Linked DNA regions of Mus musculus: all the other regions are reported to be linked to region 1. The links are microRNA targets in miRTarBase. Many come from high-throughput screens and were not tested one by one. Region 1 holds a microRNA gene; each other region holds the end of a gene's coding sequence.
What was found. Region 1 holds the annotated microRNA mmu-miR-1199-5p (UCUGAGUCCCGGUCGCGCGG, at 1,453-1,472, shown strand). A microRNA usually pairs through its seed, bases 2 to 8, with sites in the 3' UTR of a target mRNA and lowers its output. Matches are read on the target gene's strand: a 7mer-m8 pairs with bases 2 to 8, a 7mer-A1 pairs with bases 2 to 7 and ends in A, and an 8mer does both.

Region 2: miRTarBase lists Map3k20 as a target of mmu-miR-1199-5p. The part of its 3' UTR that is shown has no 7-base or 8-base seed match.
Region 3: the mRNA of Gid4 is a reported target of mmu-miR-1199-5p. Seed matches in the 3' UTR shown: 7mer-A1 at 384-390.
Region 4: the mRNA of A830018L16Rik is a reported target of mmu-miR-1199-5p. The part of its 3' UTR that is shown has no 7-base or 8-base seed match.
Region 5: the mRNA of Ttc23 is a reported target of mmu-miR-1199-5p. The part of its 3' UTR that is shown has no 7-base or 8-base seed match.

What each region holds. Positions count from the first base shown.
Region 1 is chr8:84,009,917-84,013,065 of GRCm38, reverse strand. Mir1199 (microRNA 1199) reads left to right here and starts at 1,433; the gene lies at 1,433-1,551. Misp3 (MISP family member 3) reads left to right here and starts at 1,346. Exons shown (of 3, transcript NM_001291292.1): 1 at 1,346-1,925; 2 at 2,294-2,355; 3 at 2,574-2,838. The coding sequence starts at 1,382. The coding sequence ends at 2,588.
Region 2 is chr2:72,441,353-72,444,352 of GRCm38, forward strand. It overlaps Map3k20 (mitogen-activated protein kinase kinase kinase 20), which reads left to right. Exons shown (of 20, transcript NM_023057.5): 20 at 1-1,258. The coding sequence ends at 586. Among named protein-coding and RNA genes, the nearest start is that of Gm39847, 22 kb to the right of the region's middle.
Region 3 is chr11:60,441,633-60,444,632 of GRCm38, reverse strand. Gid4 (GID complex subunit 4, VID24 homolog) reads right to left here. Exons shown (of 6, transcript NM_025757.4): 6 at 1-2,654. The coding sequence ends at 2,591. Among named protein-coding and RNA genes, the nearest start is that of Drg2, 11 kb to the left of the region's middle.
Region 4 is chr1:11,974,632-11,977,631 of GRCm38, forward strand. It overlaps A830018L16Rik (RIKEN cDNA A830018L16 gene), which reads left to right. Exons shown (of 14, transcript NM_001160369.2): 14 at 292-1,271. The coding sequence ends at 335. Among named protein-coding and RNA genes, the nearest start is that of Gm30898, 2.2 kb to the right of the region's middle.
Region 5 is chr7:67,725,699-67,728,698 of GRCm38, reverse strand. Ttc23 (tetratricopeptide repeat domain 23) reads right to left here. Exons shown (of 11, transcript NM_001168475.1): 11 at 2,123-2,671. The coding sequence ends at 2,557. Among named protein-coding and RNA genes, the nearest start is that of Gm34140, 9.9 kb to the right of the region's middle.

The DNA of each region.
Region 1 (3,149 bases):
AATGTCTCTACGAGTGGTTAGCCCTCACTCTGGGTCATCGACCCTGTCCCGAAACACAGATCGGGCACCAGACAAAGGTCGCTACTGCCTCCCGCTAACCCGGTGGCTCCTCTGCCCCATCTTGGGCCTCCTGGGCAAACTGGTCCAAGCTGACCGCCTTCCAGCCACAATTGCTCGGCTGAGGCCCGGAAGTCCTGTAATGTCTGTGCCCTCAAACACCGCTCATTCTAGCTGGACACTTGGCTGCCAATGCCTTGCGGGCTTTTCTGGAAGGTGGGGGTGGGGAATCTGCCCCAGGGTTTTGAGTGGCGGCAGCGCCGCTGCAAACCAGACAGAGCTGAGCAGCCCCGGGTAGCAGCAGCACCCAGTGCGGCGGCCCCGGGCGACCCTCGGGCTGGACTCGAGCTGTGTTGCCTCAGCGATCAGTGTGCAGAGAAGGCCCGGAGATCACGGGATAGGGGGCGGGGGGAAGGAGAGTGGTGTCGCTGGCCGCAGGCTGGCACTTGCTGACCTAGACTAGTGAGGTCAGCGAAAGACGACCGGGGAAACACTCTGTAAGGAGGCCGTGGTTCAGCGATCAGCGCGGCGCTCCGCTAGAGGTCAGGTCTCCGGAAAGTGATGAAAAAAAAAAAAAAAAAAAAAAAAGACCCCAGAATGCCAGCGTGGTACCAGAGGGAAAGGGCGACACATACCCCCTGGGTAGTGAGTTCAGGGAAGCCCTTTCCGAAGAAGCCACCCCTTCAGTCAACCCGTGTGTTCAGGTGGCGGGAATCCGGAGAGCAGTGGAGGCGCCCTGGCCCATAGGGCGGGTCCAGGGCCACTCGAATCCAGCTGGCAGGTGACGGGGGCGGTGCCCAGTCCTGCCCCCAGGGGATGTTCCTGGAGGCCAGAGGCGGGTCAAAGAAGAGTGCTGGCGACGCCTATGAACCTCGGGCGGCGGCTGTAACTACAGGTACTGCACAGGGCACCGTGTCCTACCTATTTGGGCATCTCAATTCGGCTCTGAGAACTAAAATTTTCAAAGGGCGCCTAACTCCAAACATCCATGTCCTCGGGTGTCCGAGAGTGGAGTCCTGGGGTCGCCTGAAGGCTACGTGTTCCGGGAGCCGCAGAGCCAGGGCACCGAGGGCTGCTGGGGGAGGCAGTGAGGTCCTGGAAACCTCTGGAGAGGAGCACTTGCAGACTCTGGAGCCAGAGAGCCAGGTCCCGCAGGTGCCAGTTGAGCACCGGACCGAGCGCCCGGGCGGTCCACAGCTGGGCCGCCTGGCACTAGTATAACGGAGGTACTGGGGCAGTTGTGCCCCTGTCTCGGCTCAGAGGCCTCCAGGTGTGTTTTCTACCGAAGCCCGCGGCATCCAAACCGGCGCCGGCGGAATTGCAGATGGAGACGCCCATCCAGCGCGAAATCCGCCGCAGCTGCGAGCGGGAGGAAAGCCTGCGCCGGAGCCGGGGTCTGAGTCCCGGTCGCGCGGGCGAGGAACTCATTGAGTTGCGCGTGCGGCCGGTGCTCAGTCGGCCCGGCTCCGGTACTCCGCTGCCGCGCGCCCTGGAGCGCGCTCGGGCGGGCGCGAAGATGCAACGGGACATCGAACGCGAGGCTCACAGGCAGGCGGCGCTGGCGAGCCCCGCGGTTCCGGAGCCTAGCGCCCGGCGGCGGCCGCAGCCGCTGGACGAACTCAAGCGCTTCTTTGAGGCTGCGGCGGAGGACGGCGCTGGCTTGCAGAGGCAGCCAGAGACCGGAGGCCGGCTGCACCCCGCCGTTCAGGACGGCTGTCCGGTACTGGGGCAGTTGCCACCGCTCGTTGCCCCGTCACTGCTGGAGCAGGAGGTGCGACGAGTGCGCGAGCGCGAGCGGGAGCTGCAGTTGCAGCGGCGCAGCATCTACGGCGACGCCGAGGTCCAGGAGCCAGCGCCGAGCCTCACCCGTAAGCGGTCCCCCTGGGCCCTAGAGCTCCAGCTGTCTCCACCTCCAGTGATCATTCATCTGTAGGCTTGCAGACCCTTAACTATTCTCCTGGGGGTTCACCTTCTTTTCTTCACTCCCACTCCTGGAGTGAGGATCCCCACATCCATCAGACCTTGGAACCTTGACTTCTGGCGTTCTCGGGTCCTCTGTAGTACTCGGGTGCCTCTCTACATTGAGTTTGCCTCATTCCTGTTCCTGGGTCCTCAGAACTGGGTGGAGGCCTTCATGGGGAAGAGGGGTGCACACCTGTATGTATATAAGGGGTGCGGCCATCCTCCAGCTGGCAAGAGGAGGGGCAGTCGCGGCTGAGTGTTCCTTCCCCCACAGCGAGCAGGGGAGATGGAAAATTGTCGGTGATCTGGCCTCCGCGGAGACGGGCCTCTGAGAAGGTGGGAGACTCCCTTTCCGATGCTTGTCGGTCTCCCAGCCCTCCCTGCAGCACCTGGGCACTGGGGTGGAGGGAGAAGGTGCCTCTTGGTCCCCTGGAGCGCCACTCTAACCCAAACTCAAAAGTCCTAGACGCGATCCAGAGAGTGAAGAGGAGGTGGAGGCCTAGAGGCCAAACTTCTCCCTGAGGGTGTTCTTTCTCTTCCCCTTTTCCTTCTAGGAGCGCAGACCCTGAGGTCTATGAAGGTTGGGACCTGCGGACAGAAGTAACATACCCTTTGGAGAACCAGGGTAGGGTTACTCTCCAGATCAGCAGAAGGCCTAGAGAGGGAAGGGCTAGCTTTCTTTAATGGCAACTTGAAATCCAGCCCATCTTTGATACTGACTATGGAATTAACCACCTTTCTCCATAAAATTCTCTAGTCTTCCTTGGAAACCCTGCAAAACCTATGAGTGAAACATAAAATAAACTCCTCCTCCCTTTACCTGGGCTTCAGTGCAAGCTATTTTCTACTGGGTCCTCCTTAGTCTGGGTGGGCGGAGGCTGGCAGGTGAAGAACGTTTGGAAAAGCCACCCAAGGATCCCGCCGGAATGTTGGAATTCAAAACGCGCTCTGGTCTCCTTGTTCTGGACTGACTGCGGACCCGGGCTTGGAGGCCAGGGCCCTACTGCCCCCTGGTGGTGAGAACGCAAAATGTTGCTCACCGGCCCACAGACTCCACTCTGGTATCCAGATGTCAGTTTTTATAGGCACCAAAACCATTCTGTGTTCAGGGAGCTGCTAGACCGAGGTGC
Region 2 (3,000 bases), not on the chromosome of region 1:
GGATTCCTATGCTGCTGCGGTGAGGAGGACCCAGACTCCGGTGAAGTACCAGCAGATTACACCAAGCATCAACCCTTCCCGGAGCTCCTCCCCCACGCAGTATGGGCTGTCCAGAAACTTCTCCTCCCTGAACCTCAGCTCCAGGGACAGCGGCTTCTCCAGCCTCAATGACAGCTCCTCCGAGAGGGGCCGCTACTCAGACCGAAGCAGAAACAAGTACTACCGTGGTAGTGTGTCCCTCAATTCTTCCCCGAAAGGAAGATATGGTGGGAAAAGTCAGCATTCCACACCTTCAAGAGAAAGATATTCTGGAAAGTTCTACAGGCTGCCCCAGTCAGCGCTGAACACTCATCAGTCCCCTGACTTCAAGAGGAGCCCAAATGACCATGACCGCCGTGTGCCCAGGACCATACCCGGGATGCCTCTGCACCCTGAGACTGCCTCCAAAGCAGGGGAAGAGGAGAGCAGGGTGAGCGAAGGGGGCTGGACTAAAGTGGAATATCGGAAGAAGACACACAGGCAACTTTCGGCCAAGACTAGCAAGGAGAGAACCCGTGGCAACTACCGTGGGCGGCGGAATTTTTGAGGGATTGGGTCAGATGCGCTTTTCCAAGCGGGTTAGTAGTGCTTTGTGCAATGGATTTTTGGTAATAAGGTATCTTGAGGTTATAGGGACCAAAAAAAGACTAGTTCTGGGCTTGGGAAACACCTTTTAACTGAAAGGACAACCAAAGCAGGGCCTCAATTATGGCTGTTAGTCAGTCAACTAGAGGTGGCAATTAAACTTGACAATAACTGCCAATGTTTTGTCCCCTGAATTACTATTGAGGTGGGGAGGGCTATGACATTGCCTGCTGGGAACATTCGAGCAGGCTTGGGGCCAGGATAAAGCTAGTGAGAACCACAGAAAAATCATATTTCTGGACAAAACAGGATTCATCTTATCTTCTCTTTCATCTAAGTTCCAAGATGGCTCTGCAAAGCACTGTGGACGATTCTTGAGTTAAAATTTGTTTTTTGATTTTGGGGTTTTGTTTTTTTTTTTTTAACCTACTGGGATAAAATATCATTTATCTTGATTGCTGAGGGATTTTTTTAAAATGCCTCCCTAAATGTTGTGCCCAAGGCAAGTGCCTCACTCATCTCCACTGTGTTAGTATTTATTTTAGTGAGATATTTGTGTTTTCTGCCATGGTCAGTATTGAACTGATTTGGCTTGTCATTTTTAGGTAATAAAAAAAAAGATTATTGAAGTTAATGTTGATTGTATGGTGGCTATTTCATTCATTAAGGTTCAACAGACAAAAGATCTAAATGGCCTGGAGGTTTGTGGCTGGTTCCTTTTCTGAGTCCCCAGGATGCTTTCCACCATCACAACAGAGAGAGCAGAGAGGTGGGTGGGGAGACAGTTCACACCGCATCCTTGGGATGTCAGAACTCTACAAGAAAACAGACGGAGCAGGGTAGCACCATCTCAAGCTAAAAGCCGGAGAAATTAAATTACCATCAGCCTTGTTAGAGCAAGGCAGTAAATACCAGCAAGCCAGTGTGCCGCCGCTGGGAGAGAAGAGGGGGCTGCTTGTAGCCTAGAGCAGGAAGCTCATGGCACGCAAGGATATGAAGCATTGTGAAATACTTCCTATTTTGCAAGTCAGAGAGTCAGGTGGCAACAAACCTGTTACACATCAGACAGATATTACACATCACACATTACTCTCAGTATGCTGAGAACCTGTTCCGCATCCACTAATACTAAGCACTGTGTGCCATTTGATCTGTCTGCTGGGATCATCAAGGATTTTTGTAGCCTTAAAGTCAAGATGGTAGGAAATGACTTCCTTTACAAGGGAAACTTGTCATGACCTAAACGTTGACTCGACAACTTGATTTTATTTACCATTTGCACTTATGAACAAGCAAAGCAATGGGGATGTAAATCAAGATGAGCTTGGTGGGTATGAGGTACCCATTTTCATCATGGCTAACCAACTTAGAAAGCTCCTGGGTCTTTGTCTTCTCCGCTGGAATCTGTTTCCAGGCATCCCCCTTCCCTTTGGCTTTTCTTCCATGTTAAACAGTAGCAAGCAAACAGAAAGGTCTGTGCAAAGTTTGCCGTCTTGCTCTGCTGTTTCCAAAGAGGCAACACGTTCTTTGAGAATGTTTGGATCAATGACAGTCTTGAGTCAGTCACTCTGAAGGGAATGCAGAGGACGGTGTGAGCCAGAACAATAGAGGCACGGCTTCAGGTTGAAAGGTGTTGGTGCAGATGAACGTTGTGTCATGATCCTTGCCACCATCTTGCTTTTGTGGATCCCTGAGTTAGATAATCCAAACTGGCATTCAAGCGACTGACTGCCTGTGGTCTCAGCCTTCTTTTGTACAGTGATTGGTCACTAAAAAAGTTGCTGCAACAGCCCACCAAACTGACCACTTTGTAAAGTCTCGTGGAAAAGTACTTGTCAGCATTGATGCTTCCAGTCAAAATCAAAACAAGAACAGCTGCAGTCTGGTTTTGGGTTGTAAAGAAGTAATAAGAATTGGCCGTGCTTTTTTGCTTGTTTCTTCTCTCTCTCTCTCTCTCTCTCACTCTCTCTCTCTCTCTCTCAACAATACTTAGTCATCAGACATTTGTAAGGTTTTAGCAAGACATGCTCCAGCAAAATAGCCAAATGCCAAAACAGAAATTAAAAACATAGCAGCCTCGGGTTTAGTTATCTACTTAGCACACATAAGGCTTTGGGTTCAATTCTCAACCCCAGAAGACAAAGTAAATAATTTTCAGGAAGTATATTAGTTGTAAGAGGACGGGGATAAGACTGACAGAGAGAAAAAGAGGAAATTTTTAGGTAAGACTGTAAGGGTGTGGCTCACTAGCAGGGCACAGGACATATGTGCATGAATGCACCCACAAGTGAGCGGAATTGTTAACAATTGCTTTCATCTGGTTTTTCCATGAATATAGCTTTAGAGAGAAAAATTAAACTACAATATACTTAAAAT
Region 3 (3,000 bases), not on the chromosome of region 1:
TGCAGTCTGCACCTATTTTTCAATGTTAGATACAAGTGCCAGGCAAAGATATTGCACACAGGACCAGAGGCATGCAAGCCACTGAGCAGCTGGTTAAAGAGCTACCAATGGAGACAAGTCCCAGAGGTCCTCCAGGGACAGAAAAGGAAAAGAAGTCACTGTCCACCAGCTAGGAGTTACTAAGAAGTGGAACATGTTTATTCCTGCCCAGTGTTCAGGGGCAGACTTCTAAGCAGCAAGTCTTCAGGTAGGTCTGAAGTCTGTCTGCTAAAGGCATCCTTCCCTCATCTTTCTAAGTAGAGCTGGAACACTTCCCTAGCTAAGAAAAAAAAAAAAAAAAAAAGCAGGGTGTGGTGGCTCACACCTTTAGTCCTAGTACTCGCTCTGAGTAGTCAGGTGGATCTCAGTGAGTTCAAGGTCAGCCTGATCTACAAAGTGAGCTCCAGGCCAGCTAGAGTTACAAAGTGAGACCCTGAAGACAAAGAGATCAAAGGAACAAAAGGGGGGTGTAGGGGGAACCCCTATGCTCCGACCTGGCCTGCCCAGTTTAGAGGAGAGGCTGTTCACTGACGTGCTACTAGAGCTACACACGAGCCCTAGCTTCAGGGTGACTCCATCCACTGCTGAATGATACCTGCCCAGCACACAATGGTTCAATAGCATGGTGGAAAGCCAGAGGAGCAGGTGCTGCAGGGAAAAGCCAGCAGTCAGTCTTTCTGCCTCCTTCACTCTCCAGTGCTGCCCCTCAGCTTAAGTGAAGCGATGGTGGCCTGTGGTGTAAGCCAGGTGCTTCTGACCAGAGCCGGCCATCTCATATTCAGTTGAGTTTTGATGTCAGATGAAGTTTAGGTTCACCTTAGACTGACCCTTTCTCCTGGGCTCAGGCTTCTGAGCAGCTGGGCCTCGAGGTGCACTGCCGTACCCAGGCTGCTTCTCAAGGGTAAGGAACCACTGATTCAGCCCTAGCGATGGATGTGGATTCTTTTCTTCTACCTAAGTCTTGGGATGATGTATTGTTATGGTTTCTGAGCCCCAGCTTTACTGACTGGGTAAGTTTTGGGGCTATGGATATTGCCAAGTACCTGCTGGTTTCTTTCCCCACTTCTGCTCTCTTAAGGTTCCCAGATATTCAGTATTAGTAACACACAGCACAATACAACAGCAGCCAACCTGCTACCCCTTGGTGTTCCCTTTTTCCAGCACTGGAAATGGAAGCCAGGTCCTTCCTCATATGTGACAAGCTAGTGCTTGGTCAGCTGCACTCCCAGCCCTGATGCTGTATTTATTTTAAAGCTTTTCCCCTTGTGTTTGGACCTGTAAACCACCAGAATTCCCCAAAGTCCTGACAATATTGTGGACTACAACTGATGCCAATCTATTAAGCTTTTTAAACATTTAGAAAAACCAAACCAAACCAAACCAAACCACTCCCCTCTCTCACACTTTGGCACATGAGCCTCGAGTTATTTGAGTGCATTTCTTCCTGCCCACGCCATGACAACATTTCAGTCATCCTTTCCGGAGAATGGGGGCCCCCTCTGCCTTTGGAAAAGGTTGTCATGACACACTGATGTTTTGAGTAGCAAAAGGAGGAGGCGCAAATGCTCAGCCGGCCCGGAAACAGTTCCTGTGTTTAGCACTGTGATTTAAGCAATGCTGCAAAACTTCTGTACCAGGATGACCTGTTTCAAAACTGCTGGTTGATTAAATATACATATAGACATAGATATAAAAGTCACTACGTCAACATTTGCTGTTTTCAATGTGAAAACGATAAATGTAATTCGGAATAATTGTGCATTTGCCATAGGGTCCTTGTTAAAGGTACCATAAAAATAATAATTTTGTAATAAAAAACTCTTTTATTTAGTATTGCCCTCAAGTTCAGAAGTTTGGAGCAAATGTACTGAGAAAGCAGTTTGGGATCTACTCCTACCAGGGATCTGGAAGCCTTAAATTTAGTGATCCCCAACAGCAGGCCCAGAAAACCCGACAGCCATGTGCTAGTCTTGCATTGTTAACACACAGGGCCCTACAAGACATCAACTGGAATCAAAGGTCAATGAGGCCCACCAGGGACCCCATCTCATCTCATTGGTGGTATATGCTGGGCCCAGGCAACTCACATAGAGCTCTGGGGCACAAGATGCTGGGCTCTCCCTTTCCTTGGGCTACCAAACAAGCAACTGAGGAAGGAGTAGGGCCTGGGTGGAGACCACTGAGCACCAAGGCTAAGGTGACCCAGGAGCTGACCTTCCACTTGGCTAGAGGCAGGCCGAGGAAAGATGGCATTTCAGTGATGCAGAAGTTAGCTGTGCAGGAAGGAAAGTGCATTTAAGGTTGTTCAGAAACAGATGGTGACCACAATGCCACTGAGAGGAAGGAGGGTGGGAGGTGAACAGCTCCCTCTGCCTGCCTGCAGGTTGGCCATGCTCCTTGGATCCTGTAGGTTAACATTCATGCTTTCTGATGAAGTCTGCTCGTGAACAAACAGGAACACACCTCTCCTGGTTCTGGCAGGTACATAATTTCCTCGCAAAGCTCTTTGTTGCCAAGTTCAGTTTTATTTGGCCACTGTTCTGAACCTCTGTCACCGGAACTCATAGATGGGTGCACTGTGTTCAGGAACATGGGTCAGGTTGAGGGACTGATACCTGTAATAGAGGAGAGACAGAATAGAAGAGTTTTCTTAGGAATCCTGAACAAAGGCAACTGGAGAACTCTACCTAGAGTCCCCGCCAATTATATTCAGATTGAGGTGCTAAACCATTTCCAGTTACATAAAGGGACGGTCCTACTATGTAGCTGTAGCTGGCCTGGAATTCCCCATGTAGACCAGGCTGGCCTCAGACTCACTGTGATCCATCTACTTCTGACACCTCAGTGCTAGGATTAAACATATGTGGCATCAAACCTCAATTTTGCTAAATTTTTGTTTTCTTTTTATTTTGTGCATGCATGAGATAGATAGATAGATAGAGAGAGAGAGAGAGAGAGAGA
Region 4 (3,000 bases), not on the chromosome of region 1:
TTGCTTAATTGGTAAACCAGACATATTAGATATAATTATGACACAAAGCAAAAAAATATAAAATAACATTCTGATTAGGATTTTATTTAGATACCAACATTTATGTACTATTAAAAACACGGGCCTAATCTGGCTAATGAAGGTAAGATAAGTGCACAGCAAGATCATTGCCATGGCAGAAATACATTCAGAGTAGAAGAGAGCACTAAAGTTTCAATCTCTCCTTTGGATATGCAGTTCTATCCATGCACTGTTGAATGCATTTTATTTTTATTTTTTATTCCTCTACAGGTCTGTCTGTGAAACCGGCAAAGGAAGTTGCAAGTGGTCCTTAAGAATATTATAGCTGACTGAATCCTTACTTATTGTCCTAATTTGATGTACTAAATGTAATATCTAAAGAAATGTCATTTTCCTAATGTCAATAATAAACAAGAACTCTTGTAAGTAGGGTGTGCACTAATGTATAGTACAAGAACACTAATTCAGGCACAGCAGTCTGTTGTCTATGGGATTTGATACTCTTTGATCTGCTCAGTGTCTTGGGTTTATGTTACTTTATATGTAGTTATTAAAATAGTGCTTAAAATTTTCTGGATTTTAATTTAGCTAGGGTTTTCTACTTCTATTTTTATAATAATAGCTCATATTTTGGATTAATACACATTATACTTGCCCACATGTGCCACATTAGTCCTGTGCAGCAGTTGACTGCTTAGTGTTAACCTCTTTGCATCAGGAAGAAATTTATCCCCCACAACTGCCCCGATTTGATTATATTACCTATTCCTATTTAAATATGATGGGTATGTTACTTCAGTAAAGCAAACTAATGAATAATGAAATGCATGCCCTCAGGACACTTGCAAGGAAAAATCACTTGATTATGTATGCAATTATTGAGCTACACCTTACTTTTGGAATGTGCTTTGTACTTATTCTAAATGAATTGATATCAGTCAATCTATTGACTATATCTGCTATATTTTATCTTATTTGTCTTAATACAAGTTTTTTTTGGTGGGCTTTAATGAATTAAGGCTAAATTATACAACTCTGTATAACTGTAAAAGAAACAATTGTTAAAGACTCGACCATAGCTAAGGAATAAACAAGCAGTTTCTGACTTCTGAATTAAGTCATGTTTAAAATATAAATACAGACATTAGAAATGATGTAATAAATTTTCTTACATTTTTTTCTTGTATGATGAAACTAATTTTAGTAATAAGTATTTTTATAGATGGCAATAAATTAAAGGTTATGTATCAGTTGCTGTTCTTGGAGGTGACAACGTGACTGAGTACCATCAACCTAAAGGAGAAGGTTTTATTTTGGTCCATGTTTTTGGAGGTTTCAGAGCATGGTCTACTAGCTTCTTTGCCTGTAGTGAAGCAGATTTTCATGGCAGAAGGAATATGTGACATGAGATAACTTACTTCAAGAAGGCCCAGAAGCATAGAGAGTGACAGGCAGGAGCAACATATACCTTTCAGTGACCCACTTCCTCCAGTCAGGTCCACCTTTTAAGTTCCACTGTGTTCCGATAACCCATTAACTGTCCTTTCATAAATAGATCACCCCACTGATAAAGGTCTGAGAACTTAAGAGCCAATTGCTTCTCTAAAACCTTACTTATGGAAATGTAATTGGGAACCCTACAAATCTTGGAGTGGGGACATTTTTATGCAAATTATAACAGCTTGGAAAACAATTTTTAAGCAAAAAGCCAGAAAGTAGGAGATTGGGATTATAGGATCAGATGCCAGGCAGTGGTGGCACACACATTTGATCCCAGCACTTAGCAGGCAGAGGCAGGTGGATCTCTGTGAGTTTGAAGCCAGCCTGATGTACAGAGCGAGTTCCATGACAGCTAGGGTTACTCAGCGAAACCCTGTTGAGAGAGAGAGAGAGAGAGAGAGAGAGAGAGAGAGAGAGAGGCAGAGACAGAGACAGATAGAGAGAGAGGCAGAGACAGAGACAGATAGAGAGAGAGACAGAGACAGAGAGACAGAGAGACAGAGACAGACAGAGAGACAGAGAGACAGATGGAGAGACAGAGAGATGGAGAGACAGAGAGATGGAGAGACAGAGATTGAGATTATGAAAAGGAGTTTCAAAAATGATTCAACTGAGGATTTAATTTTTTTTTCTTGTTAAAAATTTTTGGTTTAAAATATGTCACAAAAATGTGTTTATCTGAAAGCCATGTTTTCCTTCAATAATGACATATTCAAACTTGGCTTTCCATTTGCCAACGTGCCTTATATTCCACATGAATCTCAAGAATCACATGCACCAGGAAGTAAGCATGGATATTACTGTATGCATCATGGAAGATAGACCAAGCCAGACCGTAAGTAAAACGTAAGGACAGATTCTAATGGAAAACCTACTGCTGCAAACAAAACGGAGTCTAGTGTGGACTAAACCCCGCCCCAGTTTGTACATAAGTGAATGAGCTTTTCCATGGCATAATGGGTGAGTAGAAATGGTGAGGGCTGAAGTTTGAGTACAATCAGGGAAATGGAAATTTACAAAATGTAGGACCGGAAAAGGGTGGTTCTTCCAGGTGAAACTCACCTGACTTTGCTCAAGGGTTTTTCCAAAGATACGTGTCCTAACCTATGATAGAGACAGATGGTGTAGCTGGAGCATGGCTGAACAGCTTTGCCAACTGGTACAGATGAGAAGTCCAGTAGCAACAAAGTCATAAGGTCAGTTGCAAGATATACCGCGTTAAGAGGGGAAGGAAACAGGCAATAGCTTTGAGCAAGCAAATAGTATAATTTGCCTTTTAGGAAGATAATTTCTGGGAATGGTGAGGAAATTGGTCAAAAAGGAAAAAGACTGTGATCCAAAGGAATGGTTAGGACACTTACACAATCAGAACTGGAGAGCAAATGGCACAGAAAGGGAGGAATCTAGACTAATAATTGATTAAAGATGGGAGAGAAAGGTCATAGATAGTGTTCAGATTCTAGCCAGGACACCTGGTGG
Region 5 (3,000 bases), not on the chromosome of region 1:
TCATCCGGTGATGCATCGGAGTGCAAGCATTTGTTGGCACTTCTGGAGGTCAAGCTGAGGGTCACCTCTTAGTTACTTTTTTTTTCATGGTTGTGATCAAATACTTGACAAGAAACAAGGAAGAAGGGCTGGTTCTGGCTTACAGTTCGAGGGGATACAGCCCATCATGGCAGTGAGGGCAGATCAGCCGTAATCTGAGGTGGTTGGCCACACTGCAAACACAGTCAGGAAGCAAAGTGTAGGCGGGATATGGGGTGGGGTGATGAAACCTCAAGGCCCACCCCCCACTGATCCACTTCCTCTAGGCCCAACCTATCCTGGGACAAAATATTCAAACATACAACTGTATAGGGGGCATTTCACAATCAAACCACAGCGTTTTGCCCCTGTCTCCAGAGGCCCATGGCCATTTCATAATGCAACATGTATTCAGTCCAAGGAGGAAATCATACTTCCAACATCAGCAGCACAGAGTTTTCCCACTCCATAACAAGGGAAGGTCATACTAAAGTAAGATCAAAACCCAGCAGGGCAAATAAATACCAAACCCTTCAGCTCTACATACCCGAGGCTCACAGTAGAAGCATTTGGGCTCTGAAGAGCTTGGGTATACCTGCTGCTACAGTTCTGCAGCCTGAAGCTCATGGTCTCTTATAGGACAGCATGAGTCTGCTGCAGAGTCCTTCAGCTGACGCCTCCTGTGTGGTCCTGGTGTCTCCAGCATCCTGAGGTCTCCATCACAGCTCAGGCGTCACTGTTACAGCACACAATGGCCTCAGTGCCTTTCAGAGCCTTGGTGCCAACTTCTGTGACCCACCTCCCCCACTTGAGTTTCGCATATTTGCACAATAATGTCGTCATGTCCCACTGCCACCTTGCAATACAATCTGGCCCACTTGGACCACAGTCACTCAGGTCTCTATTTCCAGGTATTCATTTCTAAGCAGGGCCCCCTACATTCTCAGTTCAGGCTCTCTTAACAACCTTCAAATACATTTGCTTTTTCCAGATTTGGAGCCTTTAGTGGGTGGGGTTCTGCCCTCAGGACAGCTTTCCTAGTGTCCCAGTAAAGAACACTAGATTTCTTTTTAAAGGGGCAGCTAATCACTTTAACTTCCAGGCTGCTTTTGTACCGACCCTATCTCTAATTTTAGGCCCATTCCTTTCCCCACCAGATGCTGCACCCTCCATCCCTCTGTTCCACTTGTAGCTCTCTGGATAAGAACAGTGAGCAACTCCACCACACCTGACTGCAATTGTGTCTTAGAGGCTCACCCATCAAACACAGTAGTCCACTACATGACCATGAGGTCTCAAGTACATATACTTTAGGTATATGAGGTCTTGGCACATGCGCAGAATGCAGACAGATTCCTTGTTGTAATGTAGGACAATGTAGCCCAGGTCTTAACAGAGTCCTTATTCTCCTCTAGTGTCAGGATTTGTCATAACATCCTGGTCATCTAGACACCCCCACCCCTAGGATGGTCTTCTGAGATCTGCTTTCAGCTTCTGAGGGGCTCCCCTGCCCATACTTCTACACTCTTCCATATTATTCCTGCAGATCAATTCCAAACACCGGAGACCTGCAGTCAGCCGGACCATGGCTGTGGGTCTATTCCAGTGCCTGTTTTCCATGCTATTCTTTTTATCCTTACAATGAGAAAAATAATGCTGGTTGCTCAAACAGCCAATAAGAAGCAAAGGGTTGATTTTGGCTTTTAGATGGAAGGCAGGTAGGGGTGTGTGTGTGCATATTTACACACACACACACACACACACACACACACACACACACACACACACACACACAATGGTGAGGAAGGCAGGTGGCAGAGGCACCACCAGCTAGTCCCACTGAGTCTGCCATCAGGAAGCAGAGAGTGCATAGAAAATGGGACTAAGGCTAAGAAACCTCAGAGCCCACCTCCAGTGACACAGTTCATCCAACTGGACTCCTGCCTCAAGGCCTCTCAGCAATGGGAACCAAGTGTTCAAATATACGAGCCTATGAGAGACATTTCGCATTTAAACCATAGCAGGCTCCATGGAGTCCAGGCAAGCGCTCTGTCCCGGGGCAGCATTGCCAGCTCCAGTCTTCATTTCAAACACACAAACTGCTGCTAGCACAAGCATCTCTTTATTGGTAGTTTCTTCTCAGTTACTATTACTTTCATACGAGGGAGGCTTTGTGCAGGGTCTCGCTGCCCCAGATGTGGCTCTGGATGGAGCAGGAGCCCTGCCTGTCACCAGGTGAGTCTCCTTTCCTGTCAAGAAGCTCCAACTTGGGAAGAGTGTTTCAGCCACGGCAGAGATGACAGAGGAGAGTCTCCTTGGTGAAAGAAGATAACCAAGAGCACCATATCACCCCAAAGGGCATTCACAATTGGGGTGTGGAAGATTCATGGTACTGCCATTGCATTCTGAAGTAAACAGCCTTAAAAACCTGCAGTGGCTGCTGAACTTCACCTTCGAGCTGGAGAGAGGTTTGTTCAGCATCCTACAAGCAATGCCAAGTCTTTCTTGGAGCTTTCTTTGGGGCGGCACATGGGCGCATCAGTCTGCTACACTGTGCCTGCCCTTCCCTGGCATGCCGTACTGGGGGGCACTGGTGCAGAATGCTACTTTGGCTTTCACCGATTGCCTTGACTTCCCGGCAGCCTCGGAGATCCTGTAGACGGAAGGGAGACCGGTGAGCGAGGGCCTTTGCTGTTGGGAAGAAGCCTCAGGAGGGGATGCAGAGGAGACCCATGGCCCAAGAACATCAAACACAAGGCGTGCTTCTCCTCTCTTAATGCCTTGCAGCCATGCTCACCGAGCTGAGGCAAATCAGGTCTTAGGTAGGTCATCCGTGGAATGAGAGTGGAAAATACTGTCAAGTCCTGACGGGAAGCGTTGTTGACCCACTTACGCTGCCCTAAAAGGGTGCCTCCAGTGAAAGCCACTGCTGTACTTTCCTGACCTGGACTTGATCCTCAGTCCATATCCTCTCAGGGAATA